2 linked regions of the Macaca mulatta genome follow. The protein of the gene in region 2 binds, or shares a complex with, the protein of the main gene of each other region. Links are inferred from orthologs where the notes say so. Each region holds a gene or a part of one and is shown on either strand. Other genes may lie near its edges. The genes, in order: CPLANE2 and FUZ.

Evidence for each region.
Region 1: the proteins of FUZ (region 2) and CPLANE2 are in contact, whole or in part, in a cryo-EM structure (PDB 7Q3E), measured with the Mus musculus proteins. The link is inferred for Macaca mulatta from reciprocal best matches to the Homo sapiens genes FUZ and CPLANE2. Residues at the interface, in NP_081652.2 of Mus musculus: Arg26, Arg35, Ile109, Val110, Lys126, Glu127, Arg129, Ala130, Tyr132, Cys133, Asp136, Gln215, Ala216, Ala217, Arg218, Asp219, Tyr220, Pro221, Tyr223, Pro232, Leu238, Thr239, Leu240, Leu241, Arg242, Pro255, Leu256, Gly257, Gln258, Pro261; in NP_001074643.1 of Mus musculus: Glu36, Gly38, Leu39, Leu40, Glu41, Arg42, Val83, His84, His85, Glu86, Thr88, Gly89, Ile90, Gln91, Thr92, Thr93, Val94, Lys124, Phe125, Met128, Glu134.

What each region holds. Positions count from the first base shown.
Region 1 is NC_133406.1:224,779,594-224,795,342, reverse strand, and holds CPLANE2 (ciliogenesis and planar polarity effector 2), read right to left. Parts: upstream 7,193-15,749; 5' UTR 7,039-7,192; exon of another isoform or gene 7,001-7,038; intron 6,903-7,000; exon of another isoform or gene 6,738-6,902; 5' UTR 6,736-6,737; coding exon 6,624-6,735; intron 4,248-6,623; coding exon 4,125-4,247; exon of another isoform or gene 4,115-4,124; coding exon of another isoform or gene 3,979-4,114; intron 3,774-3,978; coding exon 3,621-3,773; intron 3,002-3,620; coding exon 2,877-3,001; intron 2,629-2,876; coding exon 2,492-2,628; intron 2,280-2,491; coding exon 2,030-2,279; 3' UTR 1,990-2,029; coding exon of another isoform or gene 1,919-1,989; 3' UTR 1,866-1,918; coding exon of another isoform or gene 1,831-1,865; 3' UTR 1,683-1,830; downstream 1-1,682. UniProt on the Homo sapiens protein: Required for efficient primary cilia initiation, regulating a late step in cilia initiation. Plays a role in the final maturation of the mother centriole and ciliary vesicle that allows extension of the ciliary axoneme.
Region 2 is NC_133424.1:62,270,520-62,286,115, forward strand, and holds FUZ (protein fuzzy homolog), read right to left. Parts: upstream 10,393-15,596; 5' UTR 10,209-10,392; coding exon 10,098-10,208; intron 9,840-10,097; coding exon 9,718-9,839; intron 9,439-9,717; coding exon 9,354-9,438; exon of another isoform or gene 9,352-9,353; intron 8,771-9,351; coding exon 8,702-8,770; exon of another isoform or gene 8,701-8,701; intron 8,538-8,700; coding exon 8,433-8,537; exon of another isoform or gene 8,432-8,432; intron 7,010-8,431; coding exon 6,812-7,009; exon of another isoform or gene 6,810-6,811; intron 6,692-6,809; coding exon 6,596-6,691; intron 6,281-6,595; coding exon 6,174-6,280; exon of another isoform or gene 6,173-6,173; intron 6,096-6,172; coding exon 6,031-6,095; intron 5,957-6,030; coding exon 5,879-5,956; intron 4,768-5,878; coding exon 4,544-4,767; 3' UTR 4,260-4,543; downstream 1-4,259. Other genes in the region: AP2A1 (AP-2 complex subunit alpha-1), read left to right, coding at 206-271, 623-679, 787-869, 978-1,156, 2,855-2,976, 3,061-3,177, 3,272-3,341, 3,518-3,652 and 1 more; MED25 (mediator of RNA polymerase II transcription subunit 25), read left to right, coding at 13,228-13,361, 13,456-13,501, 14,921-15,045. UniProt on the Homo sapiens protein: Probable planar cell polarity effector involved in cilium biogenesis. May regulate protein and membrane transport to the cilium.

The sequences.
Region 1 (15,749 bases), on a different chromosome or scaffold from region 2:
CTGAGCTGGTGCCCAAGAGGGACAGGAAGCCTCCTTTCCGGGGGTGGGGGGGTGGGGTTTATGCCCAGAGATGACCGGCTGGGATGTGGGGTAGGCGGTTCCTAAGCACAAATGCCTGTAACTGGAGGCCCACAGTCAGGCCTGGGGCTGCCTTCTGGGCCCTACCCTCCACTACATTGCTCCTCAGGTGAGCTAAGGTCTCCTGGAGTTAAGGACAGAGGGGGACGTGGATAGATCCACCTGGAAGCAGGGCTGAGGGCTGCAGGAGTGGGAGCCGGCCTGCAGGCTCTGAGGCTGGGGTCCCGTCCAGGGACATTCCTTCTTGGGGTGTGGGTAAGTGCAGGGCCTGAGCTCTAAGCCTTAGTCAGCGGTGAGAAGGTGCTGGAATCAGTCCTTCCTCTGGCCCAGACCCTGGAAGGGTTGACAAACGTAGGTGGCAGTACCCAGGGAGGACAGGCTGGCAGTGTGGATGGGCATGTGAGCAGTGTGCTTGGGTGCAGGCATCAGGACAGGTGAGTCTGGACCTCCTGTGTGTGCCAGCAGGCAGGCGTGGAAAGTGCTTTCGTCCTAGCGCAGGTGTGTGTGAGCACAGGTCATACTGTGTGAGTGGGGCCTGGGCAGAGCTGCAGAGTTCCAAGAGTCAGCTGCCTTTGGGGACACTCTGCTTTGAGCCAGATGCAGGCCCGGCCTCAGCCCAGGGGTTCATCTATGGGGCTGGGCAGGGGCTCATTGGAGGGGATCGTATAAAGGCCCCTTTCCCTGGGGCCTTCCCCTCATCCTCCTTAGCCTACTTTGACCAGCGTCTCTGGCTTATGGGGCAGGGCCAAGACACAAGGCTGGGCCTACTCACTCCCCTCCCGGTTCCTGTCCTTGATGGCCTCCCATGGGACAGAGCTGCCTCTCAGGCCAGCTCACGCTCTGACCCCCACTGGGATGGTCCTTGACCCTGCATGGTGCTGCTTTCGGGTGCCCCTGGGCTGCCAGGACTCCTATCCTAAGCCTGGTCTGACAGCTTCATGATCAAGAAAGGCATTGCAGGCCAGGCGCGGTGGCTCGTGCCTGTAATCCCAGCACTTTGGGAGGCTGTGGCGGGCTGATTATTTGAGATCAGGAGTTTGAGACCAGCCTGGCCAACATAGTGAGACCCCATCTCTACTAAAAATACAAAAATTAGCTGGGCATGGTGGTTGGCGACTGTAATCCCAGCTACTCGGGAGGCTGAGGTAGGAGAATCGCTTGAAACCAGGAGGTGTAGGTTGCAGTGAGCTGAGATCACACCACTGTACTCCAACCTGTGCCACAGAGCAAGACTCCGAAAAAAAAAAAAAAAGAAAGAAAAAGAAAGGCCCTGCAGAGCGACGGGCTTGACTCCTGGACTCACAGGTGGACTCCATGTCCCAGCCTCCCCCGCAGCGCCACATGACTACATGACTGCTGGGTGCTGGTCTCTGGAATGTGGGCAGAATGAGGTGCCACCCTGGGCCTGGTCCACAGAAAGCTGGGGGCCACCTCCCGCCTGCATTCACTCCCTGGCTGCTAACTGGGTGCTGATGCCCTAGGGCAGCTGGACAGGGTCTCTGGGGCTGGGTCTCTGTAGGAGCGCCTGGAGCAGAGCCCCACGCCCACTGTCACCTACTTCCTAGCTGAGGCCTACGCAAGAACGAACACATGGAGTACAGCACTGGGATTTCGGAGTTTATCTGTTACAACAAATGGTGTCACCTCAACCAATAAAGGCTCTTGATTGAAGTCACTTGAGAGGCACCCCTTCTTCCAGTCACCCTCCACGGGTGCTGCCAAAGGGGGAAAGGCCGTGGGAGATGTTCGAGCTCAGGGCCTTGTTCCCCAACTCCCTGGCATGAATTCTGCAAGGAAAGTGCTGCTCCGGGGCGGGCCCTCTCCGGCCACATCCTCCATATCAGGTCATGCTGGCTAGTCTTCCAGATGGGACCCATGTTCCTGCCTCAGCCTCAGGCCCTATGTCGAGACCTGAGGGTTGGGGGTGGGATCACAAGCACCCACTCGTTATTCATTCAGGAGCACTCTCTGGGGGGTTGGGAAGCAGGCCGGCTGCCACCTGGTCCTGGTGCCACAGCTGCTCAGCAAGGCCGTTGAGTACGTGGGCAACGTCAGCCAGCCCAGCCCGCCCGTCCAGCGTGCACCCATCAGCCAGCCGCCGCCCTGGCACACTCTTCACCCGTAGCAGGGGCAGCTCCCAGGCCTGCCGAAAGGCTATGAGGTCCCGCTCAGGCACGTCTGTGTGCATGTACTGGTCAAATCTGGAGGAGGGTCAAGGAGCCTGGCTGGCTGCCTCTGCACAGCCCCCCATCAGACCCTGCCTCTCCTTCCTCCCTGGAGCCCACACCCAGGAGCTGGGGTAGCCATGCTGTACCCTCTAAGTAAAAGCCCAGGTGCTGAATTCCATGCCTGGGCAGAGGCTGGGCCCCTGACCCCCTTGCTCCGTGACTTGCTGAGGGTATCCAAAGGATACTTGGAGCCGATGACCATCCTGACGACACCAGGGGCCTCACCTGCTATGCGGGTCAGCTGTCCAGGGAGGTCTTCAAAGGAGGCACGGTCAGTGAAGGAGAAGAGGAAGAGGAAGGCATCTGTGTTCTCCATGCAAGCCTGGTGATGGAGAGGCATATAACCAAATCACCTCCCATCAACTGCAGGGCCCTGAGAAGAATCAGGAATAATCCCTCCTTTCACAGATTGGGAAACTGAGGCCCAGGGCACGTAGCGGCTGGTCCTAGGACAAGCATGGGCTGGGACTCAGTCTCCAGTGCCAGCTCAGATCTCTGAGCAGTGCCTTGAGCTCACTACTACCCAACCAGCCCCTGGCAGAGCCCACCCAGGCCCACATGCCTGCTCACCGGGAGCATATGATCGAACTTTTTGAGTGCAGACTCTCCACAGTCCCAGAACTCAAAACGAAACATGACGACACGGCCGCTGGCCTGCAGCTTGGCTGGCCAAAATACCACGGTGGTCTGGATGCCTGAGGGGGAGCCAGGGTCAGCCATTCAGCATGGGAGAGGTGGGGGTGGAGGAATAGGTGGCCAGGAAGGAATAGGAAGAAGAGATACATCCCTGCCCTGATGGGTCCCCAGTTTGATGAGGGCAGCCCAGTCCTTGACCCAGGAGAATTCGCTGATGGGAGAAACAGAGACCAGCCCTGGAGGAGACTCTGGTATACCAGGAAGATGCAGCCCTAGCTATGGCAAAGCAGCTTCGTTTCTATGTCCAGGGAGACCTAAAGGGCCCAGGGCACTGGGAGATGTTTCAACATGGTGGAACAATCAGCATCCAGTGGTGAGAAACAAGAAAGCAAGATTAGCATTTCCTGAGCGTCTGCCTTGAGCATAGCTTGATGCTAGGCATGTTACCACTACTACCTCTGTTGGCAACCACACAACAACCCTGTGGGGTAGGTACAATTATTCCTTTGGGACCAAGGAGCCCATGTAGGCTCAGAGAGGTGAAGTGACTTTCTAAGGCTACAGAGTAAGAGGTGGAGCTGGGTATCAACCCTGGCTTGTGTGGTCCAGGGCGAGGTTCTTGCCTCCACCCCCAAGGAGGGCCTCCCAGGATGGGCAAAGGATTGAGGTCCCACTCACCGGTGGTCTCGTGGTGCACCACAGGCACCTCCAGGCCAGCCAGCTTGGCCACCAGCGCCGTCTTGCCCACACCACTCTTCCCAGACACAAAGATCTTATAGCTGGCAGTGTCGATGGACACAGGCGGCGGCAGCACTGGCCGCTCAAGCAGGCCTAGGGCAAAAAGGGAGCCAGGCAGGGTCGAAGGGTGCTGTGGTTTGAAGGAGTCCCCCAAAGTTCATGTGTTGGAAACTTAATCCCCAATGCAGCAGTGTTAGGAAGTCGGGCCTAATACAAGGTGATCGAGTGTTCTGCTCTCATAAATGGATTAATGTTGTCACTGGGGCAGTGGGTTTGTTATAAAAGCCAGTTTGGGTACCTCTTGCTGTCTTGCTGTTGCCCTTCTGCCGTCTGCCCATGGGATGACACAGCATGAAGGCCCTTTCCAGATGCCACTGCCATGTTCTTAGACTTCCCAGCCTCCAGAACCATGAGCTAAATAAACTTCTGTTCATTATAAATTACCCAGAGGAGGCCAGGCGCAGTGACTCACACCTGTAATCCCAGCACTTTGGGAGGCCAAGGCAGGCGCATCACTTGAGGTCAGGAGTTCGAGACCAGCCTGGCCAACATGGTGAAACTCCATCTCTACAAAAAAAATACAAAAAATTAGCTGGGTGTGGTGATGTGTGCCTATAATCCTAGCTTCTTGGGAGGCTGAGGCAGGAGAATTGCTTGAACCTGGGAGGTGAAAGTTGCTAAGCCAAGATCACACCACTGCACTCCAGCCTGGGTGACAGAGTGAAACTTTGTCTCAAAAAAATATAAATAAATAAATAACTCAGAGTGTGGTATTCTGTTATAGTAGCATAAAATGAACTAAGACGGGGGTAAATCCTGCACTTGCCCCATCAGATCCTGGGCTGGACAATCTCATTTATTTATTTTTATTTTTTTTCTTTACCTTCTATTTTTAATAGGGATGGGGTCTCACTGTGTTGCTCAGGCCGGTCTTGAGCTCCTGGGTTCAAGCAATCCTCCCACCTTGGCATCCGAAAGTACTGGGACTACAGGCATGAGCCACCACACGCAGCCAAGGACAACCTCGTTTCTAATGGCTTCTTCAGGGCTAAGCAACCATCTGTGGTTCTTTTTTTTTTTTTTTTTTGAGATGGAGTTTCGCTCTTGTTGCCCAGGTTGGAGTGCAATGGCATGATCTCAGCTCACTGCAACTTCAGCCTCCTGGGTTCAAGTGATTCTCCTGCCTCAGCCTCCCGAGTAACTGGGATTATAGGCACGCGCCACCATGCCTGGCTAATTTTGTAGCCAGGGGGTTTCTCCATGTTGGTCAGGCTGATCTCAAACTCCCAACCTCAGGTGATCTGCCTGCCTCAGCCTTCCAAAGTGCTGGGATTACAGGTGTGAGACACTGTGCCCAGCCCCATCTGTGGCTCTTAATACTCAACCCAGTTTTACAGAAGTCTGGGATACAAAGAGACTGGCCTAAGTGATTATAGTCAGTCTGTTGATATTTATTTACTAGCTGCTCTCAACTAGCTGTTTCTTGTGAGGCCTGCATGACAACCACTGAATGATACATTCGGGTGCATAAACCCAGCTGTTAAAAAAAAGAAAAAAACCCAAATGTCTGTGGTTAAAGTAAAAACACAAAAATTAAAAGCCATCACTGCCATTCCTCTAAGTTATGGCTGTTTGATCCTATCTGTGGCATAGATAATATGGTCAGTGGATTCTATGATGTCCCCAGAAAATCAGCTCAACCTTCACTCAATTCTTTTCCACTCAACACAACTAAATGCAAAATAAATACAATAACAACCAACCTTCAGTGAACACCCACTGTATGCCAGACCCTGCTCAGTATGTTACAAACACACTCTTTATCAATTTCCCCAGGACCTCTATGGGATAAATACTGTGATTATCCCCATTTTACAGAAGTGGGACTTTAGCTAGAGTTCACTTATCCCCAGTCATACAGCTAGCAGTGGTGGAGCCTGGGTCACTTACCTGGGTATGTGTAACCCCAAATACAGTGTTACCAGCCGTCATGGGATTAAAGGGACAGTGGCCATAATCGAGGGTTTGTTTTTTTTTTCTTTTGAAATGGAGTTTTGCTTTTGTCACCCAGGCTAGAATGCAATGGCTGGACCTAGGGTCACTGCAACCTCCGCCTCCTGGGTTCAAGTGATTCACCTGCCTCAGCCTCCCGAGTAGCTGGGATTATAGATGCGCACCACCATGCCCGGCTAATTTTTGTATTTTTAGTAAAGACAGGGTTTCACCATGTTGGCCAGGCTGGTCTTGAACTCCTGACCTCAGGTGATCTGCCCACCTTGGCCTCCCAAAGTGCTGGGATTACAGGCGTGAGGGTCGTATTTTGAATCTAGTGTAATTTTTTTTTAAACAGTTGACTTATTCACAAATTTTGGTTCTAGCTATCTCACTCTCTGGTCTTAAGCTTTCTGGCACCTTGCTTCTCCTGCCCAGAACTGTACTCCACAGCTGATTCCAGGCACCTTTGCCGGCCTGTCAGCCGGGCCCTGCCTGAGTTTCACTGAACTGACTCACCCAGGCAGTTCAGTGATGGGGAACACCAGTGTCTCATCCTAGAGACAGCAGGACATGGAAGAGGCTCACCTCTATTAGGGTGTGATATTAGCCAAGTCTGTACCATGTGCTGTTGAGAGGTTAAATGGGCGTGCACTGTGTAACGAGCCCAACAGAGGGCCTGGCAGCAGCGGAGAGCTCAAGCAACTGCATCTCTGGTGACAGTGGTTGCTGGCAGGGTTTCTGCTGTTTCCATGTTCCTGGCTCTGACGAGGGAATTAGCTCTAAGGAGACTTAGGGGTGGGGGGTCCCAGAGGTAGGGCTTTCAGTCCCCCAGGCTGAAGACTGCAGCAGGCCCTCACTGCCCTGCCTCTCTGCTCTCTTCAGAGAGCAACAGGTGACACTGGCAGGGAGAAACAAGTGGCGGGCTGGAGGAAAGGGGGAGGCACTTACCAAACACCCGCCGGCGGTTCTTGCGCAGAATGCAAGCCAGGTACTCCTTGCCCTCAGCACTTTCGTGCCAGTTTGGGACAACCACCGAACCGGGCACGGGAGGTCTGGCCATGGCTGGGCACCGCGACGGGGTAGGGAAGTGGCAGAATGCTGAGACCAGGGAGTGCGAAGGGGGGTGACCGTACCAAGCCGGGCCTATGATCCCTCTTAAACGCTGACTCTCCCGGTGGGTACCAGAAAGTGCAGTCCCTCAGTTGCCTCTCTCCTCCACAGTGCTCCCTGGGGATAGTCATCCCATTACTGCCTAGCGAAGGTATTTACCCAGCCCCTCTCCCCTTGTCACCTCCGGGGGTCAGACAGCCCTGCTTCTCCTCTACCTTCTAGATCCCAACTCCCGGGGCTACCTAGCCCTCACCGTCAGCATTCCCGGCGGCGAAACAACCTGGGTGCCGAAGGCCCCTTTAAACGCCCACCCGCGCGCCCATCGCCCCAGCCCGCCAGGCCCGCTTCCGCCCCGCCTGCGTCCGGCTTCTGCCCGTGCTGGCAGCTCAGGCGCCGGTGCTCGCGGCGCATGTGCAGAGGTTGTTGCCATGGAGACGCCGGAGGCTGGATTGGGCGGGTTCCGGGCTGCGTTAGTCCCTCCTACAACGTCCGCAGGCAGCGCCGCGCGACGGCGCTGGATAAGGCCTTTTCCTCTGGGTCGTGGATCCTCTTCTCTGCTACTCCGTCTGATCCCCAGTTTTTCTTCCAAAACATCTTGAAACCCCCCCTTCTCCAGGAGCCTTCCATGCTTCTCTGTGTCTCAGTTTCCTCTTCCATAACGTGGATGTAACATGTCATTCCCTCCATAGCAGTGCTCCACGTTATGATTGTAGCTATTATTAATATTATTGCTCTATTAATCCTGCTCGGCAGGACCTCGAGATGACTTAAACATCTCTAGCTTCACTGATGGGGACACACACCAGCTCAGAGAGGTCAAGGGACTTGGCTGAACTTTTAAAAAAAGAGTCAGAGGCCCGCTGGATTGTATTTTTCATTCATTCATTCATTCATTCATTCAACAAATACTGAGCACCTACTATGTGCCTGGCCCATTCTAAGGGCTGGGAATACAGTGGCCAACAAGAAGTCACTGCCCTCCTGGGGCTGACTTTTCAGCTCTGAAACTCTGAGCTCCCCTCCACCGTTCCAGCACTGGATTCCAGGCCTGTTACCCAGAAGGTGGGTGCTCAGTAAATGCCCATTGGTTGGAAAGGGTACAGGTGGGTCACTACTGAGAGTTTGTCTATTACATTTAATTTTTACCATTATCCTCCCGCAATGCCTTCAAGTAGGGCAAATCACTGTTTTGAAAGGAATAATCTAGGAGTTAAGCTTTACCGAAGGCCACCGAAATGCCAGACACTGGGAGCTTTACAGAGGTCACTGGATTTAATTCTTTTTTTTTTTTTTTTTTTTTGAGACGGAGTCTTGCTCTGTGCCCCAGGCTGGAGTGCAGTGGCGCGATCTCGGCTCACTGTAAGCTCCGCCTCCCGGGTTCACGCCATTCTCCTGCCTCAGCCTCCTGAGTAGCTGGGACTACAGGCGCCCGCCACCTCGCCCGGCTAATTTTCTTGTATTTTTAGTAGAGACGGGGTTTCACCGTGTTAGCCAGGATGGTCTCGATCTCCTGACCTCGTGATCCGCCCGTCTCGGCCTCCCAAAGTGCTGGGATTACAGGCTTGAGCCACCGCGCCCGGCCTAGATTTAATTCTATAAACAAATCTGTATAAGTAGTATTACCCTCTTGTACTGATGAAGACATTCAGAAACATAACATGACTTGTCTGAGGTCACACTGCACAGCTAGTCAGCATGAAACCGACTCAGAACTCACAGCTGGTTTGGTGTGTGGCTCACGTCTGTAATCCCAGCACTTTGGGAAGCCGAGGCAGGCAGATTGCTTAAGCTCAGGAGTTCAAGACCAACCTGGGCAACATAGTAAGACCCTGTCTCTACAAAACAATACAAAAATTAGCCAGGCACAGTGGTGGATGCCTGTAGTCCCAGCTACTTGGAGGCTGAGATGGGAGGATTGCTTGAGCCCGGGAAATGGAGGTTGCAGTGAGCCGAGATCATGCCACTGTACTTCAGCCTGACCGACAGAGCCAGGCCCTGTCAAAAAAAAAACCAAAAAACAAAAAACCCACGCTTCATGCTTACCTGACTCTAAAGTACCTATCTGTTCTACCAGTTTGGGTTTTGTGTTTTTAAAACTTTGCCCCTAGCCACTAGGAGGGCTGTTCCTAGGGAAGCAGAAAGCAGCCAGAGGACTATGAACTCAGATTTTTAAGGCCCATTATGTCCTAAGAGAGGGGACAAGGATGTGTAAGGCCCATTATGTCTGAGAGGGGACGGGGATGTGTAAGACAAAGTGCTTTCTCTCAACTTGCTCACACTATGGCTAGGCAGAAAAACAAGATGAATAAACATTTCTACAGAATTCTGCAGTTGAAATCCTTTGCCCATACTTCCGGGTCACATGGTTCCCGTTCCTACAGCTATCATCACATCTGCCCAGTCAGGGAGATTCACAGTTGTCTCCATGGGCCAGGAGTGACTCAGTGGCAGGGCTCAGATCTAAACTATCTCTGGATTTCCAGACTTCACATCCACCCCTGTCCTTGGTTCGTGGAGGGCTCAGTGAGCGTGTGAGAAGATGAAGCAACTTGGCAGAGTAACATGCCCGTTAATCTGGAACCCAGAGAAGATGTAAAGTCCTCTTGGGGCCAGGTGCGGTGGCTCACACCTGTAATCCCAGCACTTTGGGAGGCTGTTTGAGACCAGCCTGGGCAACACGGCAAAACTTCATCTCTAAAAATATACAAAAAAAGGCTGGGCGCGGTGGCTCATGCCTGTAATCCCAGCACTTTGGGAGGCCGAGGTGGGCGGTCCACCTGAGTTCAGGAGTTCAAGATCAGCCTGGGCAACATGGTGAACCCTGTCTCTACTAAAAATACAAAAATTATCCGGCTGTGGTGGCAGGTGCCTGTAATCCCAGCTACTCAGGAGGCTGAGGCAGAAGAATTGCTTGAACCTGGGAGGTTGAGGTTGCAGTGAGCAGAATCACATCACTGCACTCCAGCCTGGGTAACAGAGCTGAATAAATAAACAAAATAAATTATGTATTTAGTGGAAGGCTGATCAAGGACTCAAAAGAATGCAATCTTTTGTCTCTTATCTACTTTTTTTTTTTTTTTTTTTGAGACAGAGTCTGACTCTGTCACCCAGGCTGGATTGATTGGAGTGGCACAATCTCAGCTCACTGCAACCTCTGCCTCTGGGGTTCAAGCGATTCTCCTGCCTCAGCCTCCCAGGTAGGTGGGACTACAGGCACGCGCCACCTGTCTCACTCTGTCACCCAGGCTAGAGGGCAGTGGTGTGATCTCAGCTCACTGCAGCCTCACCCTCCTCAGGCTCAAGCAATTCTCCTGCCTCAGCCCCGAGAGGAGCTAGGACTACCGCCTGGCTAATTTTTTTTTTTCCTTTTTTTGTATTTTTGTTTGTTTGAGACAAAGTCTCAATTTTGTTCCCCAGGCTGGAGTGCAATGGCGCGATCTTTGCTCACTGCAACCTCTGCCTCCCAGGTTCAAGCGATTCTCCTGCCTCAGCCTCCCGAGTAGTTGGGATTACAGGCGCCTGCCACCACGCCCGGCTAATTTTTGTATTTTTAGTAGAGACAGGTTTCAACATGTTGGCCAGGCTGGTCTTGAACTCCTAACCTCAGGTGATCCACCTGCCTCAGCCTCCCAAAGTGCTGGGATTACAGGCGTAAGCCACTGCGCCTGGCCTTTTTTTTTGGCATTTTTTTTACAGAGAAGGTTTTGCCATGTTGCCCAGGCTGGTCTCAAACTCCTGGCCTCAAGTGATCTGCCTGCCTTGGCCTCCCAAAGTGCTGGGATTACAGGCATCAGCCACTGCGCCCAGCCTTAATTACCTCTTTAAAGAAACTGTTTCCAAATATAGTCACACTGGGGGCTAAGACTTCAATGTATGGATCTGGGTGGAGGGGGGCACAATTCAGTCCATAACAGGGTCCCTAGACCTCACGTAAACACTGCTGCTGGGCACAGGAGGCCAGCCGACTGTTGGGGCCTGAAAGTGACATGGTTAGAACTGCGTTTCAGAAGGACGCTTGTGGACCGTGTTGGTCTATGAGTTCTGCTCTCCTGCGCCCCTCTGACCACTAAACTATGTGTCTGCCTAAGCCAGCTGCTTCTCCTTTCAGGGCCTTAAGCAAAGCACGTAGAACATCTCCCTAAGGACCCTTCTAGTCTAGAGCCCTCTGATTTTTTTTTTTTTTTTTTTGAGACAGAGTCTTGCTCTGTCGCCAGGCTGGAGTGCCACTGGCTCACTGCAACCTCCACCTCCTGGGTTCAAGCGATTCTCCTGCCTCAGCCTCCCAAGTAGCTGGGATTACAGGCACACACCACCACCATGCCTGGCTAGTTTTTGTATTTTTAGTAGAGATGAGGTTTCACCATGTTGGCCAGGATGGTCTCAATCTCCTGACCTCGTGATCTGCCCGCCTCGGCCTCCAAAAGTGCTGGAATTACAGGTGTGAGCTACTGTGCCTGGCCTAGAGCCCTCTGATTAATCCACTCATTTCTTCTTGGTTTGGTCTCCCCACAAATATTAAACATCTCTTGGACAAGGTCCCCACGAGACCTTAAGAGGACTCCACAAGGCAAGGACACAGTCACCAACTTGACAGAGTGGATAGGAGGCCCAGGTGGGTAGACACACAGGCCGAGCTGGGGTGAGAATGAGGCATGGAGAGCCCTGCTTGAGGATCCTGGGTGGGTGGGGGGTGGGAGGTCAGCTAGGACACCAGGCTTAAAATCCTCTCAGCACCTAGAATAACGCCCACCCCTCCCTCAGCATGGCCTAGCACCAGGAATGCTCCACTCACACCTGGAATGCTTGCTCTGCCTCCTAGCAGTCCTTCCGCCAGGCTCACCGGGCTTCAGGCCATTCTCCAAGCAGAAGCCACTGCCAGTTAATCAAGTCAGGTCAGGGCACCAACCTTGCCGCCAAGCTCAGCGGTCAATTCTCCGTCCTCAGATCACTGGTCCCCGGGATGATTCCCAGGTGACTGGATGGATGGTGGTGCCCCTAACTGTGGGGGAAGCACGGAGGAAGCGTACAGGGACAGAGGAGGAGCCCCTGGGGAGTGAGGGAGGGCGGGGGGCTGCCCAGAGAGGACACACAGCAGATGTTGGAATGTAAAACGCAGGTGAGCAGCCCGAGCAGAGCTGGACATTACCAACGGCGGAGGGACCAAGCTTGAAGCAATGGGTGTAGACGGATGAGAGGTCCGGATGCTGTGGACAGACAGCAGGGCCTTGAGCAATGACAACCACGAGCTCAGACCCGGGAGAGGCAGAGGAACCAGAAACCCCCTCCTCCAGCCCGCCCTGAGGCTCATGTTGCAGGGAGGCTTGCCCAAATCCCAGGGAAGCATGGCTGGGGAGGGATGCTACTCCTTGGACGCCATCTCTTGTGGGCCTTCTGCTGCAGAAAGTACTCTGCTCTGTGCCCCTGCCGTGGCCTCAGCCGTGGCCTCAGCCGTGCGGTCCTGTGTTCTCTTCCCACTATGGATTCCGCTCGGGAGCTCCTTTCCCATTACATCTGAGGGGATGACCTCTGGTCATCAAGTCCACATGGGTCACCCTCCATTGTCCTCAGCCCTGACCATTGGCTGCTGAGGCTTTTAGGTTTATCGAGATCCTGCATTACTGACTGCCAGAATCAAGGCCTAGACCCCACCCATCTGGGATGCCCCAGATAGGCTCTATCCTCATCTGCCCCCCTGCCACAGGTCAGCAGGATGAGGCCAAGTGCCATGATCTGAACGTCCCGCCAGATTCACATGTTGAACTTTAATCACCACAGTGACAGTATTAACAGGTGGGGCCTTTGGGGAATTATTAAGTCATGAGGGCAGAGCCCTCATGATGGGATTAGCGACATTATGGAAAGGCTTGAGGGGCCAGTTTGTCCCATCCACTGTGTGAGGACACAGCCTTCGCGATGGAGCAGCAACAAGGCAACATCTTGGAAGTGGAGACTGGGCCCTCACCAGACACCAAGCTTGAATGGTGCCTTGAGCTTGGACTTCTAAGCCTCCAGAAATGTGGGAAATACATTTCTGTTGCTTATAAATCACTGTCTGTGGTATATAGCAGCACAAAGCAACTAAGACACCAAAGCAAAGAGAAGGCTAACTTCTTGGCTTGTGGCTTCCCGAAAAACTGTCCTGGCCCTGGGTGGCTGCACTGGTTGCAGATGGTTCTACTGACTCCATCCCCTTTGGTATCTTTTTAGTATGATACCTGGATTGTCTTTTGACCTTAGAAGCTCAGGATTTGTCATTTTTGTTTAGCCCATGGGACACCTCCCTGGTTTGTGATTAGGCTGTAAGCTCCTTCATGGGTGGGCCTCTTTTGTGTCTTCTGTGTGTCTCAGTGCCTCGGGGGTCACAGATGCTCAGGGAATGCTTGCTGAGAGTGAATAGTCTCCCAGTCAGTTCCAGGCTTTCTGGGCCTTGTCAACGGGCCACAGCCCATGTCGTCGGGCAGGAGCATCCTCCCTCTCCCCAGGCTTCTGCTAGAAAGGAGCCCTCCTTCTCTTCCTTGCAGTAGGTGGGCAGACAGGCTCCCTGGTGGGTGCAGAACACACTGCTAGGACTTTTCGGCATTGACTTAAGACATGAACTTGGCTTTGTGCATGCCAACAGGTTCTGGACCCAGAGCCCAGCCCATGAGGAAGACTCATTTTCCCACGGTTGAGGGCTGGGGCAGGGAAGGCAGGTAGGCCAGCCGGGAGATGGTAGTTGAAACAAGGCAGAGGCCAGGGAGGGGTGCCCCCCAGGCTTAACTGACAGAGGGAGGGGAGAAACGGGCAAGCGTTTTATTCTTCCTGCCCATCTGCTTTCCTTCTCAAGACTGCCTCCGACAGATCACCCAAGCACACTTGAAGCCTTTCACAGGGTGCCCTCAGGTGGCCTTTTGGGGAATCACACCCATCCAATGGATTAACGATTCTTGGCTGGTTCCCGCTAAATTGCTAACCTGTGAGGCTGGCTGCCATCATTGCCATTTTACTGATAAAATTGAGGCTCAATGAGGCAGGATGACTTGCTCCAGCTCAAAGTGACAGTCAGCTCTTGAACCTAGGTCTGTCCTGTCGTACCGCCTCTAAGTCCCTTCTGAGTCCACAGAACTATGTCTCATGGTTTCCTTTGTTCCAATCTTGATCTGATGCATAAATCATCTCTGTCATTTCTTTCCATGCAGGTAGTCAGACCCTGTTTGAACACTTACAGCCGTGGACAAATCATCACCTCACACAGCATCCACTGACATGCTGGCAGTGTTTGTGGGAAGAGGAGTAGTAATGGCCACTGAGACCAGAACGCGGAACTTAGCTGGGAGGCTCTCCTTGGACTGGGGGAGGTGAAAAGGCACAGAGCACAGGTAAGACCCAGTCGTGTGCGGCAGCACCACGCAGAGGCCAGCCTGCGGGATTTTTTTTTTTTTTAGACGGAGTCTTGCTCTGTCACCCAGGCTGGAGTGCAGTGGCCGGATCTCAGCTCACTGCAAGCTCCTCCTCTCGGGTTCACGCCATTCTCCTGCCTCAGCCTCCCGAGTAGCTGGGACTACAGGCACCCGCCACTTTGCCCGGCTAGTTTTTTGTATTTTTTAGTAGAGACGGGGTTTCACCGTGTTAGCCAGGATGGTCTCGATCTCCTGACCTCATGATCCGCCCGTCTCGGCCTCCCAAAGTGCTGGGATTACAGGCTTGAGCCACCGCGCCCGGCCAGCCTGCGGGATTTTCATGGGCAAAATTTTGGTGGATGCTTCCTGTCCTGCCTAGACCTGGGGTGCTCAAAGCCTACCACTTTCAGGAAACTTTCTCATGCTCACCGGAGGAGTAATGAAGGCAAAACCTTGGGCTGAGGTGCTGATTCCTGCACTGTCTCCCCTTCCCCAGCCAGATTTTTAATTTACACCCAAATGTGCATAGGCCTCTGGCCCTTTATTATTTATTTGTTAGGAGATGGAGTCTCGCTCTGTCGCCCAGGCTGGAATGCAGTGGCGCAATCTTGGCTCACTGCAGCCTCCACCTGGGTTCAAGTGATTCTCCTGCCTCAGCCTCCCGAGTAGCTGGGATTACAGGTGTGCACTACCATGCCCAGCTAATTTTTGTATCTGTAGTAGAGAAGAGGTTTTGCCATGTTGATGCTGGTCTCAAACTCCTGACTTCAAGGAATCCACCTGCCTTGGGCTCCCAAACTGCTGGGATTACAGGCGTGAGCCACCATGCCCAGCCCACTGGCCCTTTTGTATCCAGAAAAACAAGAACCCTGGCTGGGGAGTGCTGTGCTGGCCCTGCAGTGGAAGGCAGTAGCTGCAAACTTACTATGGGCCAGGCACTGCGGTGGCGCTTTTCACATACAACTTCAATTAACCCACAGGCTCCTATAAGGTAGAAGCAACTACATTTACAGATGAGGCAACTTGTATCCAAGGTTAAGCAGTAAGTAGGGAAAGGCAGGATTAAGCCATAGGCCTTCGGAGCTTCAGGACTGTGTTCCAAACCATCATCTGCTGTGCCGTTTCATGCCCCTTGGGCCCTTTGTCTTCATCTTTGCTTAGGGGGCCAGGGAAGATGCAAATGTTGTCCTGGCCCCTGGGCCTCTCCTCCAAGCTCATGACCACTCTTAGATCTCCACTGCAGGTTAGTACTGAGACTCTGAAACACCAGGTCCTTCAAGCGTGATGGAGGAAGCTGCTTTATTATTAAATGGCATTGTCCCCAAGGAGTGGCAACTCTCCACCTCTCCCTGAAAACACAACCCCCTAGAGAAGGTATCTCTTTCCAACTACTGTGCCTTCAATCTCCAACCTCGATTGTTTCCCATCAAGACAATTTTTCTTCCAGTGTGCTCAACCTGTTTTTTTCTTTTTTTTTTTGAGACAGAGTCTAACTCTGTTGCCCAGGCTGGAGTGTAGTGGCGCAAACTTGGCTTACTGCAACCTCTGCCTCCTGGGTTTGAGCAATTCTCCTGCCTCAGCCTCC
Region 2 (15,596 bases):
TCCCTCTCCCACTCTGGACTCCACCGACACTGGCCACCCTTCGTTGTCTCCTTTCCTGTCACCGTTTCTCAGCCTGCTCTTCCTTTTCTCCTTCTCTCCTTCCCTTCTCCCTCTCTGTCTCTCTCTCTCCGGCCCTCTTGCTGCCTGTCTGGGATTGGCTGCCACGCCTGTCTTCTCTTGTCTGCTCTGGGATTGGATGGCCCAGCGAGCTGGAGCCGCCTGCCCCCGAGAGCCCCATGGCTTTGCTGGCTGACCCAGCTCCAGCTGCTGAGTAAGGGGTGGCCTGGGGTGGGAGGTCGCGGGGGGGCAGACTCCGGTGTCCCCAGGGAGAGTTAGGGGACTGAGAGCTCTTGTCAACGGGTTCCTGATGAGCAGCAGAGGCAGGGACTTTGAGGAAAGGGAAACTTGGTGCCTGCCGATGCGGGGGCACGGGCCAGGGTTCCATTCCCGTTAGAGGCCACTGCTGAACGGATGTGAAGTTCCTCGAAGCTCTGTGAGGGGTCTGGATATGTGGTTCTGGGGTTCTGTCCTTAGGGTTTGTTCTCACACTCAATTGCTCTGGGTCTTCGCCCCTCCCCACCAAGTCCCTTCCCATCTCACTCCACTCACTCACTGCCTCCAGCCCAGGTCCTGAAGACATTGGCCCTCCCATTCCGGAAGCCGATGAATTGCTGAATAAGTGAGTCCTGGGAGAGGTGGGGGAGGGGAATGGGGACAGGTGCAGAGCCTAGGTCAGGTGCAGGCAGGCATCCCCGTCATCCTGCGCCCCCTGCCACTCCCACCCAGGTTTGTGTGTAAGAACAACGGGGTTCTGTTCGAGAACCAGCTGCTGCAGATCGGAGTCAAGTCAGAGTTCCGGCAGAATCTAGGTGTGTCCCAGGGGACTGTGGGAATGGGTGGGAGGGAGACCTTGGGTTGGGCCTGGGGAAGGGGTCAGAGGGACTCAGATGGAGCTCTGCCTCCCCCACCTACTGCAGGCCGCATGTATCTCTTCTATGGCAACAAGACCTCGGTACAGTTCCAGAATTTCTCACCCACTGTGGTCCACCCCGGAGACCTCCAGACTCATATCCTCTCAGGCCCGGCCCAGCCTCCTGCCTCCAGGCCTGCCTCTCCAGGTTGGCCTTCCTCATCGTGGGGAAGCTGGCTGACCCAGGTCCACACTTCTCTTTAGCCCCTCTTGGGCACGCAGTTACTTCTCTGAGATTCAGTGTCTGCATCTGTAAGATGGGGGTGGGGTTCCTTCCCCCAGGACAGGAGATGACAGTGAAGTGGTGTGTGGGAGGCATTACTTCCGGAACTCACCTGCTCCAGGCCTCAGTTTGTCCCTGTCTGGCACCTTCCGTGTCCTGCCATTATCCTCCACTGGGCTCCATGTCATGATGCCAGCACCTCCTGCACTCAGAAGCCAGGCCTGCGGGTCCAGACGCTGATCAGGGCCTCCTCCTGTATGACCTAGGCTGAGTCACTTTGCCTATCTGGGCCTTCCTGTCCCCACCGGGAAGTGTATGTAGACCCTCCTCTTCCTCATAGGGTTATTGTGAAGATCAGAGTATCTGGAAAACCCTGGAAGGGTGGCTGGAGGTATCAGTACCCCCTGTTCCTTCTCTGGGCCTCCATTTCCACATTGATGAAATTAGAAAAGCTCAACCCCCAAACTCCTTCCGGCCGGGCGTGGGGGCTCATGCCTGTAATCCCAGCACTGGGAGGCTGAGGCCAGCGGATCATTTGAGGTCAGGAGTTCAAGACCAGCCTTGCCAACATGGTGAAACCCCATCTCCACTAAAAATACAAAAATTAGCTGGGTGGTAGTGGTGCGCGCCTATAATCCCAGCTACTCAGGAGGCTAAGACAAGAGAATCACTTGAGCCTGGAGGTGGTGGTTGTGGTGAGCTGAGATTGTATCACTGCACTCCAGTCTGGGCGACAGAGTGAGACCCTGTCTCAAAAAAAATCAGAAACAAAATTCCCTCTTCCATAATTTCCAGAGGCTCGTGCAGGCAGCTCCGTGGAGGCAGTGGCAAGAGAACATGAGACCCAGGCCTTCCCAGTGGGCTACTGACACGGATGCAGATGACGATAACGCTAATTGCTACCATCTTTGTGTACTTATCATGTACCGGGCACACAGACAAGTACTTGTAATGGATTTTTTTTTTAAATAGTGATGAGGCCTCACTGTGTTGCCCAGGCTTGTCTCAAACCCTTGGGCTCAGTGATCCTTCCCACCTTGGCCTCCCAAAGTGCTGGATCACAGGCGTGAGCCACCACACCCGGCTGGATTATTTCATCAACTCCTGAGGACATTTTACACATGTCCTTTTGTTGAGACAGGGCCTCACTCACCCAAGCGGGAGTGCAGTGGCACGAACACTGCTTACTGCAGCCTCGATCTTCTGGGCTCAAGGCATCCTCCTGCCTCAGCCTTCCAAGTAGCTGGGAGTACAGGTGCACATCACCACACCTGGCTAATTTTTTTTGTAGAGATGGGGTCTTGCCATGTTGCCCAATCTTACACATGTCCAGAGGCTTAGAGAGGTTAAGTGGCTGCCCACAGCCACTCAGGTGGGTAAGAGATGGGATTCAAACCCAAGTCAGCCTCCAGAGCTAATACTATTATGTCTCAGTGAGGTGTGACATTGTGGGAGGCCAAAGGAGGCACCTAGGGGGCGCCTCAGAGGTTTCCATAGTATGAACTTTGTAGTTGAACCTTGTAGGATTGAGTCCAGGATTGCACCATGGGGTCCCTCAAAGACCTGCAGGCGGGAGCTGCCGGCAGCTCTGGGGTTCCTGACCCAGACCTCCCGGGGGCCCGCCGCCTCTGTCTGGCTTCCTTGACCGCTGGCGGGCACAGCTGGCTGTGCAGACCAAGCGCGTGGCGGCGCAGGTGGATGGCGGCGCGCAGGTGCAGCAGGTGCTCAATATTGAGTGTCTGCGGGACTTCCTGACGCCCCCGCTGCTGTCCGTGCGCTTCCGGTAAGTGAGGTGTGGCGCGGCCAGTGGGCGGGGCCTCCCGGGCGAGGGGCGGGGCCTAACGGAGCCTCCCCCTCACTCCACCAGGTACGGTGGCACCCCCCAGGCCCTCACCCTGAAGCTCCCAGTGACCATCAACAAGTTCTTCCAGCCCACAGAGATGGCGGCCCAGGATTTCTTCCAGCGCTGGAAGCAGCTGAGCCTGTGAGGGGTGGGGAGGGGGCGGCGCCAAAGCCGCGCCTCCGGGTGGGCGGGTCGGGCCGTCCAGGTCCCTGACTTGAACCTTCCCGGTCCCCAGCCCTCAACAGGAGGCGCAGAAAATCTTCAAAGCCAACCACCCCATGGACGCAGAAGTTACTAAGGCCAAGGTGAGAGACCGCGGGCGTGTTTGCTGGCCTAGGGCTGCTTTGCTTCTCTGAGCCTCTGTTTTCCCATCTGTAAAGTGGGGCCAATTCCCATCCCCAAGGGTTTTGGGATCTGGGATGCCACTGTGTGGTAACTGACAGCTCTGGCACTCTCTGACGGCGGCCCCCCTCCCTCCCAGCTTCTGGGATTTGGCTCTGCTCTCCTGGACAATGTGGACCCCAACCCTGAGAACTTCGTGGGGGCAGGGATCATCCAGACTAAAGCCCTGCAGGTGGGCTGTCTGCTCCGGCTGGAACCCAACGCCCAGGCCCAGGTGAGTGCTGCTGTGGGAGGCCTGAGGTCGGCAGGAAGGCCACCTGTCATCTCTGTGCCCACTCTTCCTGCCTCACTGTTCAATTCACGTCCCCCCTTTGACCCTCCTCCTCTCGCATCTTTGTCCACTTTTCCTCCTCTTTATCCATCAATCTTCTCTCCTGTCTCCAACCTCTGGTCTTCCTCTCCTCTTCCTGTCCCTCCCTGATTTCTACCTTTCCATATCGTTTCCACCTTTCTCTTCTCATTTATAATTTCCCTCCTTTCTGGCTCCTCCGTTGATTTCATTCTTACATTCTCCTCTCCTGTGTCTTGTATCACTTTTCTGGCCCCTTTATCCTTCTTTCTTCTATCTCCCTTGTGTCCCCACTTCCCTGGGCTCCCCATCTTCTCTGAGTTCTGCCCCCAATGTCCCCACCCAGATGTATCGGCTGACCCTGCGCACCAGCAAGGAGCCCGTCTCCCGTCACCTGTGTGAGCTGCTGGCACAGCAGTTCTGAGCCCTGGACTCTGCCCCCGGGGATGTGGCCGGCACTGGGCAGCCCCTTGGACTGAGGCAGCTTTGGTGGATGGGGGACCTCCACTGGTGACAGAGAAGACGCCAGGGGTTGGGGGATGCCTGGGACCTTCCTCCGGCCTTTTGTATTTTTATTTTTGTTCATCTGCTGCTGTTTACATTCTGGGGGGTTAGGGGGAGCCCCCTCCCTCCCTTCCCCCTCCCAAGCACAGAGGGGAGAGGGGCAAGGAAAGTGGATGCCTCCTCCCCTCCCACCCCACCCTGTTGTAGCCCCTCCTACCCCCTCCCCATCCAGGGGCTGTGTATTATTGTGAGCGAATAAACAGAGAGACGCTAACAGCCCCATGTCTGTGTCCATCACCCACTGCTAGGTAGTCAAAGAAGTGGGGTGAGGGCATGCAGAGTGTGGGTGGCTAGGCTTCGCAGCCCATGGCTGGGACTCTGGGGAGACAGCAGCAGCAGCAGCCGCCGAACCCCCAGCTGCAGGGCCACCAGACGCACTCCTTTGCCTGGTTCCTCAGTCCCCAACACCAGGTAGCAGGCTCTGGGCAGCTGGGCCTGGTAGACCTCATCTTCTGTCTTCCCTGGTGGCCCTGGCTCTGGGGAAAGAACAGGGGGCACTGAGGTGACAAGTAGCATGCTAACCTTTGGAAGCCACACCACATCCTGGGCCCAAGTTCTGAACGCGTGGGGTCTCTGAGCACAGGTTTTGGGAGCCTTCTGCCAGGGCAGGGCCTCGGGGTTCTAGCAAGCTGTCAGCAACTTGAAGACCATGATGCTCTCAGCTCACCCTCGTCCTCTTTCTCAGCCTTGGCCCCCATTTTCCTGGGGAAACTGTGCAGCTGCAGGCAATCCTCTTAGCAATACACATGGCAAACACGGCAGAAACACAGGAGCTCCAGTAGCCTTTTCCAGGAGCCCACCCGCCCCACTGCATGAGGTGGGTGGAGGGAAGCAGGCAGGGGCCAGGGAGAGGTGGAGTCGCACAGCTAAGAAGGGGTGCAGCCCCCCAGATGGAGCACTTGACCACTGTGCTGCATTCATCCGGGCTTCACTGGGGTCATAGCGCCATCCCAGGGCCCTCCCTTTGTCTCTCTGGGCCTTTATGGGTTTTACAATAATTTTTCCTTTCTAACCCAGCATCGGTGAAAACCTGCCCCATCCCCCAAGCCTATCAGCAAAGTCTGTGCTTTCAGCAGTAGTGCAGAGTGCTGGACCGTGTGGATATGGGAGCCAGATCCCCTGTGTTCGAATATGGCTGTGCCACTCATAAGCTGAGCCTCCGTTTTCTCATCTGTAATATGGGAATGATGAGGTAACAGGATAGTCCTCGCTTGTGAGGATAAAGTGATTTCATTCTTTCATTACATGTAAAGGCACTGGGAAGAGGTGAGGTCTCACTGTTAACTATTGTTAACTATGATCTAGGAGGTTCTGAAGCCAGGCAGGGACCTCCCTTCCCCTCCCTTCCCTCCTGGAAAAGGCTACTGGAGCTCCTGTGTTGCTGCCGTGTTTGCCATGTGTATTGCTAAAGAGGATCGCCCTTCCCATCTGCATCAAATCTCAGATCTCAAGAAAAACCACAGCCCTATGGCCCAGTGCATGCTGGGTTCGTCCGGTTCCTCCAACCCCACCTCCTACTCCCACTCTGCGTGACCAGAGACTCAGTGTCCCCGCCTGCGCAGTGGGAGCACTGTGCCTGCCGCTGACCTGGTGGGAAGTGCGTGGAGGTGACCAGGGTATAGAAGTTTCGGAGGAGGCGCCGGCGCTGTTCTGGTGAAGGCTCTGCTGAGGAAAAGGCAGTGATGCAGAGCCCCTCCCCGGCCCACGCTCCTCCTGCCCCTGCCCCTGTCCTCAGTCACCTTTATCCCCCAAGGGCTCCACGGTGAAGAGGCAGCGTTTCAGTTCCAGGTGGAGGAGCAGCAGCCTGTGGGAAAGGGAAGGGAATGTCATGGTTGGGGAAGAGGACATGATCCCCAACCCACTCCCTCCATCCGAGCCTTACCCGAGGATGTCTGTGTGAAGGGGGAAGCCACTGGGCAGCGCTCGGGGTCCCAGCGGCAGACAGGCCCGCAACGGGTCCAGCAGTGGCTGCCAGCAGCGCTCCAGAAGCTGCAGGGGGCGTGGTCATTATGGGAAGGCGGGGCCGGCGGGGGAGTGCACGATAGGGGCGTGGTCAATCGGGAGGGGCGGGGCCTACGAGAACAGTGGAGGGCGGAGGGCAGAAGGGACAAGGGAAGGGGCGAGGCCTGGAAGGACGGAGGACGCGCGGGGGTGGCCGATCTTGCGGGGAAGGTGAATGACTGGAGCGCAGTCCAGAAGGGGCGGGGCTGGGGAAAGAAGCCGCTGGCAGGGCAGGGTGGTTGGAAAGGGCCTTGCAGGTACAGGGTGTCCTAAGGGGGAAAGCGGGACGTGGCGCAGGTTCACCTGTGGATACAACTGGCTGAGGGGTGGGCTTGGCCCGCAGAGTAGACACAGCTCCAGGCTCGGCAGCAGTGTCAGGGTCAGGAGCCGGTGTGGGACCTGAAGCAGGGCACAGGCTGGGGCTGACCGCGGCCCGGCCCCTTTCCATCGCAGATCCCGCTTCCTAGCGACTCGGCCCCCAGGTCACATCCCTCTGCCCCGTCCGCCCCACCCACTCACCGTGGGGCTCCCGTGCGGCAGGTACACCGGGTAGTCGCGAGCGGTCTGCGGCGGCAGGGACCCCACCAGCCAGGGGAGCAGCACGGCCTCGGGCGTCCCCAGCCGCCACCAACCTTCCGTTGCTGCCACCACCCGGCCCGACACCACCAGACTGACGAATGCCGTGCCCGTGGCCTCCGCGAACCCGGAGAGGGCTTCCTGGGTAAGGGAGGCAGGAGAACTGGGAGTCGCAGACAGGCGTAGGGGTTGGCAGCGACTTCCCCGGTGGGCAGGGAATGGGGAGTAAACCCACAGCCAGCCCCAAGCTCGTGGAGTGGCCATGCTCCTGCGTCTCACCCTCTCTGAGCCTGAGTTCCCTCACCTTCATACGAAGTCACATCCCCAACTCACACTGTGAAGTCTGATTACACACCTAGCCTGAGTGTGCAAACTGAAGCTAATGATGTAACCACAGCAGCTACTGTTCATCAAGGCCTGTTACATGCTGAGTAGGCACCATCAGCAATGTAGAGAAGCCAAGTCACCTGCTGAGAGTCACACTGCTGGGAGGCGCCCACACCAGGCAAGTCAGCAAGAGCAGTATTTAAGTAGGGGTAGCTAGAGATCTGAGAGACAGGAGGAAGAGCAGGTACCAAGGTTGGAAAGTCGTTGGGATCTCTGGGGTCTGTGAGGCAGCAGGATGGAGGTAGATTGTGGATTTAGCAACAGGTTAGGGGGTGCCACGTGCCACAGGCCTTCAAACACCAGGCTGAGGGGCTGGGACCTTGTCCTGGGGGAGGTGGAGGCTGCGGGAGGGCTGTGAGCAGGAAAGGGGCAGGGCCAGCTCTGGATATAGGAGGATTCTTCTGGTGGTCGGGTGTGATGGCTCACACCTGTCATCCGAGCAGTATGGGAGGCTGAGGGGGGAGGACTGCTTGAGCCCAGGAGTTTGAGACCAGCCTGGGCAACTTAGTGGACACTCATCCCCAACCCCAGTCCATCTCTTAAAAAAATTAGCTGAATGTGGTGACACGTGCCTATAGTGTCAGCTACTGCGGAGGCTGAGATGAGAGGATCACTTGAATCCAGGAGTTCAAGGCTGCAGTGAGCTATGACTGAGCCACTGCGCTCTAGCCTGAATGACAGAGCGAGACCCTGTCTCAGAAAAGAAAGAAAGATGGCCCAGGTGCAGTGGCTCACGCCTGTCATCCCAGCACTGTGGGAGGCCAAGGCAGGTGTCAGAAGTTTGAGACCAGCTTGGCCAACATGGCAAAACCCCATGTCTACTAAAAATACAATAAATTAGCTGGGCGTAGTGGCGGGTGCCTGTAATCCCAGCTACTCCGGAAGCTGAGGCAGAAGAATTGCTTGAACCCAGGAGGCAGAGGCTGCAGTGAGCTGAGATCGTGCCACTGCACTCCAGCCTGGGCAACAAGAGTAAAACTATGTCTCAAAAAAAAAGAGAAAGGAAAGAAAAGAGAAAAGAAAAACAATACAAAGAAAAAAGATTCTTCTGGGACCAGGTGGGGATAGGACTGGAAACTGAGAGGATAGGAGAAGGTTGGGACAATGGTCCAGAAGAAAGAGGATGAGGACTGAGCCAGGGCCAGCGGAACACGTATTTCCATAGCATCCGCAGTACCTGCAAGAGGGACCCCTCTGGAGGAATCACACAGTCCACACACTGGGTCAGGTCCCCGATGAGCTCCGAGTCCCCTAGGAAGCTGTCGATGAGGCAGTAGCTGGCCTAGGAGAATGAGAAAGGGACCAGCCTAGCATTCAGGTGGACCCAGGGTCAGACAACCAAGAACCTGTGGGACCAGGCTGTCCCAGGGGCTGCTGGGAACTGTAGTTCCCAAATGGCAGTGCCCAGGTATCCTAACTTCCCACCCTCATGCCCTGCAACCTCACCCTCAAGTCCTTCTTCAGTCTCTCCACATTGCGGATATTGGTCAGTTCTTCAAGTCCCACAAGAAGGACCTAGGAGAACCATATAGGAGAGAATGGGCCCTGGGCAACTAGTTCTAAGAGAGGAGGGGCTGGGACTTGAACTCCTGGGTCTGAAGGAAGAGGAGGCTAGGACTCCCACTTCTGGGTCTGGGGACTGGGGGGTCAAGATTCCTGGGTTCTGGCTGGGCCGGACGTGGTGGCTCATGCCTGTAATTCCAGCACTTTTGGAGGCCAACGTGGGTGGATCACTTGAGGTCAGGAGTTTGAGAACAGCCTGGCCAACACAGTGAAACCCTGTCTCTACAAAAAATACAAAAATTAGTTGGGCATGGTGGCGCGTGCCTGTAATCCCAGCTACTTGGGAAGCTGAGGCACGAGAATTGCTTGAACCTGGGAGGCGGAAGTTGCAGTGAGCCAAGATCACGCCGTTGCACTCCAGCCTGGGCAACAGAGCGAGACTCTGTCTCAAAAAAAAAAAAAGAAAAGAAAAAGAAAAAGATTCCTGGGTTCTGAGGGAGGAAGTGTTGGTGGTCTGGACTCCTAGGTCTGAGGGAGAAGGATGCTGAGATCTCAGATGCTGGTTTGGGGAGAAAAGAGGACTGGTGAGTCTCACCATGGCTCCAAACACCATTTGGAGTAGTCTCTCCAGCCTCAGCTCAGAGATGCCCTCCTCAGATGACAGAACAATGAGGGTGATGCTGTGGAATGGAAGTGAGAAGAATGAGTCAAGGCCTTGGGAATCAGGAAGGGGTATGCTGGAGTCCGCCCATCGATTCCAGAACACCAGATACATCCTCCCTCAGCCCAACCTTCCTTTCTTATAGAAAACATCAGGGATCAAAGAGGGTAACTGGCTTGCTAAAGATCCCACAGCCAAATTAACAGCTGGTTTTAGAGAGCTGGAAGGCCTCCGAGGTCATCTTCAACAGGGACTATCACCCAGGCCCTGTCCCTGTCCCACGTTCCCTCCTGGGGACCTGTCATGGAAGCTTTTCCACACCACAGTCGTGTTTTCAGTCTTCGCAGAGCTCAGCTGCACCTCCAGATTCTGCCCAAACATATGGACTCCATTGAGGGAACCGATGACAGAGAACGGGAGCTAAGGAGGGGTTAGGGACATCAGACAGGAGCACCACCCCATCCCCTCCTCCTTAGGACCTAAGCGTGCCAGCTCCCAGCCCCATCCTCTTTCCATATACCCTGGCAGTGCCTCTTTGGGGAATCAGGCTTATTGGTGCATTGCCTCCTCGGTCCTACAAACTCAACACTGAAACCTCCCCAGCCCCTACTGCCTTGAAGACCCAGAGTCAAAACACCGAACCCCCTTCGGTTTAGATACAGGTGTCCAAGGCCCCACCTGCTGACGGGCGGGGGCGCCGCCGCGACTGCTCCTGCAGAACAGGGGAACCCCGCTGGACGCCGCGAGGCACAGCAGATGAACGGTGCCACCCGTCCCCTCCTCCCCCATTTAGGACTCCCACCGCGGTCCCTCACGTGGGGACTGTCAGTGCCGGTCTTGGAGCATGCCGGTAATCACAGTAACGGCCTGTGGTCCGGAGCCGCCAGAGGGCGAGATGGGGAGCTGATTGGAAGAGGATTAATTTCCCGCCTTCTTCACCCAACTCAAACAGACCCTTAAACCCCATTCAGGCACCTCCCCCAAGCCCATTAGGTTCTCTTCCGCCCCGGCCGGAAGTCATGGTACCCCTAACAAAGATGGCGGCTAATTGAATTGGCAAACCTTTCTTGTTTCTCGGAGGAGGTAAGGAGAACCCAGAGGCCGGATTGAAGATGATGACTGCGCCAAGGCCTTGCCTAGCCACCATCCTGTAGGCTTTGATGATTTACACTCTAAACGGGAAAAACAGTTGTGCCCCGATCAAAGATTGCGACGGTCCCAAAGCGTTGCCTAGCAACCACATTCCCTCTAGGTTATAGTAGTAAACAACGTGCCCTACTCAAAGGCGGCGACCGTGGCTGGGTGTTGCCAAGCAACCACCATTCAGCCAGATTTCCATTCCAAAGCTGTAAACAGCTGTGCCCTGCTCAAAGATGGTGGCACGTCGAAGTCCGAGCACCTCCTTGGGGCGAAATCGAGAAAAACACCGTCTCCCCCCAACATTCGAGGGTGGTTGAGTCCAGCGATCGTTGCCTAGTAACCACCAAAAAAAAAAAAGGTTGTTTTTATTATTGGAAAAAAGAAAACAAGGAAATCCTTTGTCGTCCAGAATAATAAAAATAACATCATTTCTGTAATGAATTTATACATGGTAGCATACTATGTAAAATGTGAAAATATCCCTTCCCTAATTTTTTCTTTTTTTTTTTTTTTTTTTTTTGAGACGGAGTCTCGCTCTGTCACCCAGGCTGGAGTGCAGTGGCCGGATCTCAGCTCACTGCAAGCTCCGCCTCCCGGGTTTACGCCATTCTCCGGCCTCAGCCTCCCGAGTAGCTGGGACTACAGGCGCCCGCCACCTCGCCCGGCTAGTTTTTTGTATTTCTTAATAGAGACGGGGTTTCACCGTGTTAGCCAGGATGGTCTCGATCTCCTGACCTCGTGATCTGCCCGCCTCGGCCTCCCAAAGTGCTGGGATTACAGGCGTGAGCCACGGCATCCGGTCCGGGTCAGGTTTCTTTCTATTAAAGTAAATATAAAGTGGCAGGGCACAGTGGCTAACACCTGGGATTGCTTCAGCCCAGGAGTTTGAGACATGCCAGGGCAACATAGTGAGACCCCATCTCTACAAAAAATTTAAAAATTAGGCCGGGCGCGGTGACTCATGCCTGTAATCCCAGCACTTTGGGAGGCCGAGGCCGGCGGATCACGAGGTCAGGAGATCGAGACCATCCTGGCTAACACGGTGAAACGCCATCTCTACTAAAAATACAAAAACAAAAAACAAGCCAGGCGTGGTGGTGGGCGCCTGTAGTCCCACGTACACGGGAGGCTGAGGCAGGAGAATGGCGTGAACCCGGGAGGCGGAGCTTGCAGTGAGCCGAGATTGCGCCACTGCACTCCAGCCTGGGAGATAGAGCGATACAACGTCTCAAAAAAAAAAAAAAAAAAAAATTAAAAATTAGCTGGGAGTGGTGGTGCGCGGCTGTGGTCCCAGCTGCTCTACAGGCAGAAGAGTGGCTCCAGTGCGAGCACTAGAGGCTGCCGTGAGCCAAGATTGGGCCACTGCACTCCAACCTGCACAACAGAAAGAGACCTTGTCTCAAAAAATAAAAATTAAAATTAAAAAGATAATAGTAATGCAGTGTTTCTATTTTTCTATATTATTCATCAATAAGATTTGTGTAGCACATTTCTGTCAACAAACACGTTAGATTATTCCAGTTGGTAGTGTATTTTTCAACTTGGTTTATGCAGTCTTTTGGGAAAAATTAATAAAGACTACGTTTTCTGACTTTGCTGTAGTGCTAAGAAACTCAATGGCAGTCATTAAGATTTTTTTCCTTCAGATAGTTTTCGAGTTTCATTTGTCGCACTTACATTTTTAATCTACCTGGAATGTATTTATGTTCTAGGCCAGTTTCTGGCTCCTCTCCCGGAAAACAACGCTCAGGTGTTGCTAAGCAACCCACACTTGGGTTGGTATTCGGCTTCTTTTCAGGGGGAAAACAACTGCCCTCCCTTCCAAGTTGAGGACGACCTTAAAGCGTTGCCTAGTAACCTCGTTTCCGCCGATGTGATTGGATCCTTCTCGCCTCCCTCCCCCAGTCCGCCCGCCCAAAAGAACAGAATCAGAAACTTAATCTAACGGTTAGAAAACAAGGGCAGAGGTCCCGGCGCTGTGGCTCAGGACTGTAATCTTAGCACTTTGGGAATCCAAGGCGGGCGAATCACTTGAGGTCAGGAGTTCGAGAACAGCCTGGCCCACATGGTGAAACCCTTTCTCTACTAAAAATACAAAAATTAGCGGAGCCTGGTGGCGGGCACCTGTAATCCCAGCTACTCGGAAGGCTGAGGCAGGAGAATCGCTTGAACCCGGGAGGCGGAGGTTGTAGTGAGCCGAGATCGCGCCACTGCACTTCAGCCTGGGCGACAGGGCGAGACTCCCCTTTCGAAAACAAAGGAAACAAAACACAAAAACGAAAACAAGGGCAGCGTACGCGTTGCATAGCAACCAGGTCTCCCGCCCCTCCCTTTGAGACAAGAGGCGGACCCAGACGCCCCGCTCAAAGATGGCGGCTGACTGAGCCGCTTTCAATTTATTTCGCTCTTGAGAATCCTGACAAGAATTCCGTCGAACCCATCAGGCCCCTAAAAGGGCTAACTATGCCCTTTCTGAGTTTTCCACGCGGTGGAGGCGAAGGAGGATGGAGCTAGAACGAAGCCTCAGCGCGTGCCCCGCACAAACATGGCCGCATTCCCAGCGTCCCTAAACCGCCCGGCGCGGGTGCGCGCGCAGCGCAGGCGCATTTCCGCTCATTCCGCGGTGTCGGCTGCGGCGGCTGTGGCGGTGGCGGCTACCGCACGGGGTATGGTCCCCGGGTCCGAGGGCCCGGCCCGCGCCGGGGGCCTGGTGGCCGACGTGGTGTTTGTGATTGAGGGTACGGCCAACCTGGGACCCTACTTCGAGGGACTCCGCAAGCACTACCTGCTGCCGGCCATCGAGTGAGTGCCGTTTCCGCGGCTCTAATCCCGCCCTCCCATTTCAGTTTCCACAGCTTCTTGCCTGACTCCGACCTTTCACCTCCGACCCTCACAGGTATTTTAATGGTGGTCCTCCTGCTGAGACGGACTTCGGGGGAGACGTGAGTCTTGGGACTCCTGGGTCTGAGGGAGGAGGGGCTGGGGGCCTGGACTCCTGGGTCTGAGGGAGGAGGAGTTCGGGGTCTGGACTCCTGGGTCTGAGGGAGGAGGAGTTCGGGGTCTGGACTACTGGGTCTGAGGGAGGAGGAGTTCGGGGTCTGGACTCCTGGGTCTGAGGGAGGAGGAGTTCGGGGTCTGGACTCCTGGGTCTGAGGGAGGAGGAGTTCGGGGTCTGGACTACTGGGTCTGAGGGAGGAGGAGTTCGGGGTCTGGACTCCTGGGTCTGAGGGAGGAGGAGTTCGGGGTCTGGACTACTGGGTCTGAGGGAGGAGGGGTTCGGGGTCTGGACTCCTGGGTCTGAGGGAGGAGGGGCTGGGGGCCTGGACTCCTGGGTCTGAGGGAGGAGGGGACTGGGGGTCTGGACTCCTGGGTCTGAGGGAGGAGGGGCTGGGGGCCTGGACTCCTGGGTCTGAGGGAGGAGGAGTTCGGGGTCTGGACTACTGGGTCTGAGGGAGGAGGGGTTCGGGGTCTGGACTCCTGGGTCTGAGGGAGGAGGGGCTGGGGGCCTGGACTCCTGGGTCTGAGGGAGGAGGGGCTGGGGGCCTGGACTCCTGGGTCTGAGGGAGGAGGGGTTCGGGGTCTGGACTCCTGGGTCTGAGGGAGGAGGGGCTGGGGGCCTGGACTCCTGGGTCTGAGGGAGGAGGGGTTCGGGGTCTGGACTCCTGGGTCTGAGGGAGGAGGAGGGGCCTGGACTCCTGGGTCTGAGGGAGGAGGAGGGGTCTGGACTACTGGGTCTGAGGGAGGAGGGGTTCGGGGTCTGGACTCCTGGGTCTGAGGGAGGAGGAGGGGCCTGGACTCCTGGGTCTGAGGGAGGAGGAGTTCGGGGTCTGGACTCCTGGGTCTGAGGGAGGAGGGACAGGGGTCTGGACTCCTGGGTCTGAGGGAGGAGGGGATGGGGCTGAGATTCCTGGGTCTGAGGAAGGAGGAAGTTGAGGAGTTCCTGGTTCTGGAGGAACAGGAAGCTGGGAGCCCTGATTCCTTCTCTGAGGGAAAAGAGAATGGAGATCCCAGATTAAAAGTTTTTCTGGGCCGGGCGTGGTGGCTCAAGCCTGTAATCCCAGCACTTTGGGAGGCCGAGACGGGCGGATCACGAGGTCGGGAGATCGAGACCATCCTGGCTAACACGGTGAAACCCCGTCTCTACTAAAAAATACAAAAAACTAGCCGGGCGAGGTGGTGGGCGCCTGTGGTCCCAGCTACTCGGGAGGCTGAGGCAGGAGAATGGCGTGAACCCGGGAGGCGGAGCTTGCAGTGAGCTGAGATCCGGCCACTGCGCTCCAGCCTGGGCGGCAGAGCGAGACTCCGTCTCAAAAAAAAAAAATAAAAAATAAAAAAAAAGTTTTTCTGTTCTCCCCTCCCAGTATGGAGGGACCCAGTACAGCCTCGTGGTGTTCAACACAGTGGACTGCGCTCCCGAGTCCTATGTACAATGTCACGCTCCCACCAGCAGCGCCTATGAGTTTGTCACCTGGCTCGATGGCATTAAGTGAGCTTTTCCCCCACTTAGGGTGGGTTGGGGTTCCTGTGAGGGGCCGTGAATGAGGGATGGCTTGGGTTTGAGCTGCAGGAAACATCTCATACATGAAGCGATTTAAAGGACTTTGAAGGTGATTGTGTTTTTGTCAGAAGTCACTTTTGTGGCTTCTGTGTGCTCAGCAATGTTGCCAACCAGTTTAGAAGTAGGAAAAACTTCCCATTCAGGGAGGCCTGGCTGAGCTCCAGCAGCCACCTTGTACTTCCTGTGTGATTGTCCCCTTTATGTCCTCTCTTTTTCTATTTACCCCGTTCTCCTTTTCCAGATGCGTACATTGTAGTCTCAATGCAGGGGGATGGGTCAGAGCCAGGATAGATCCCTCTGTGGCTTGAATCAGACCTTTTTTTTTTTTTCTTTGAAACAGAGTCTTGCTCTGTCTCCCAGGCTGGAGTACAGTGGCAGAGTCTTGGCTCACTGCAACCTGCACCTCCCGGGTTCAAGCGATTCTGCCTCAGCCTCCTGAGTAGCTGGGATTACAGGCACACGCCACTACACCCAGCTAA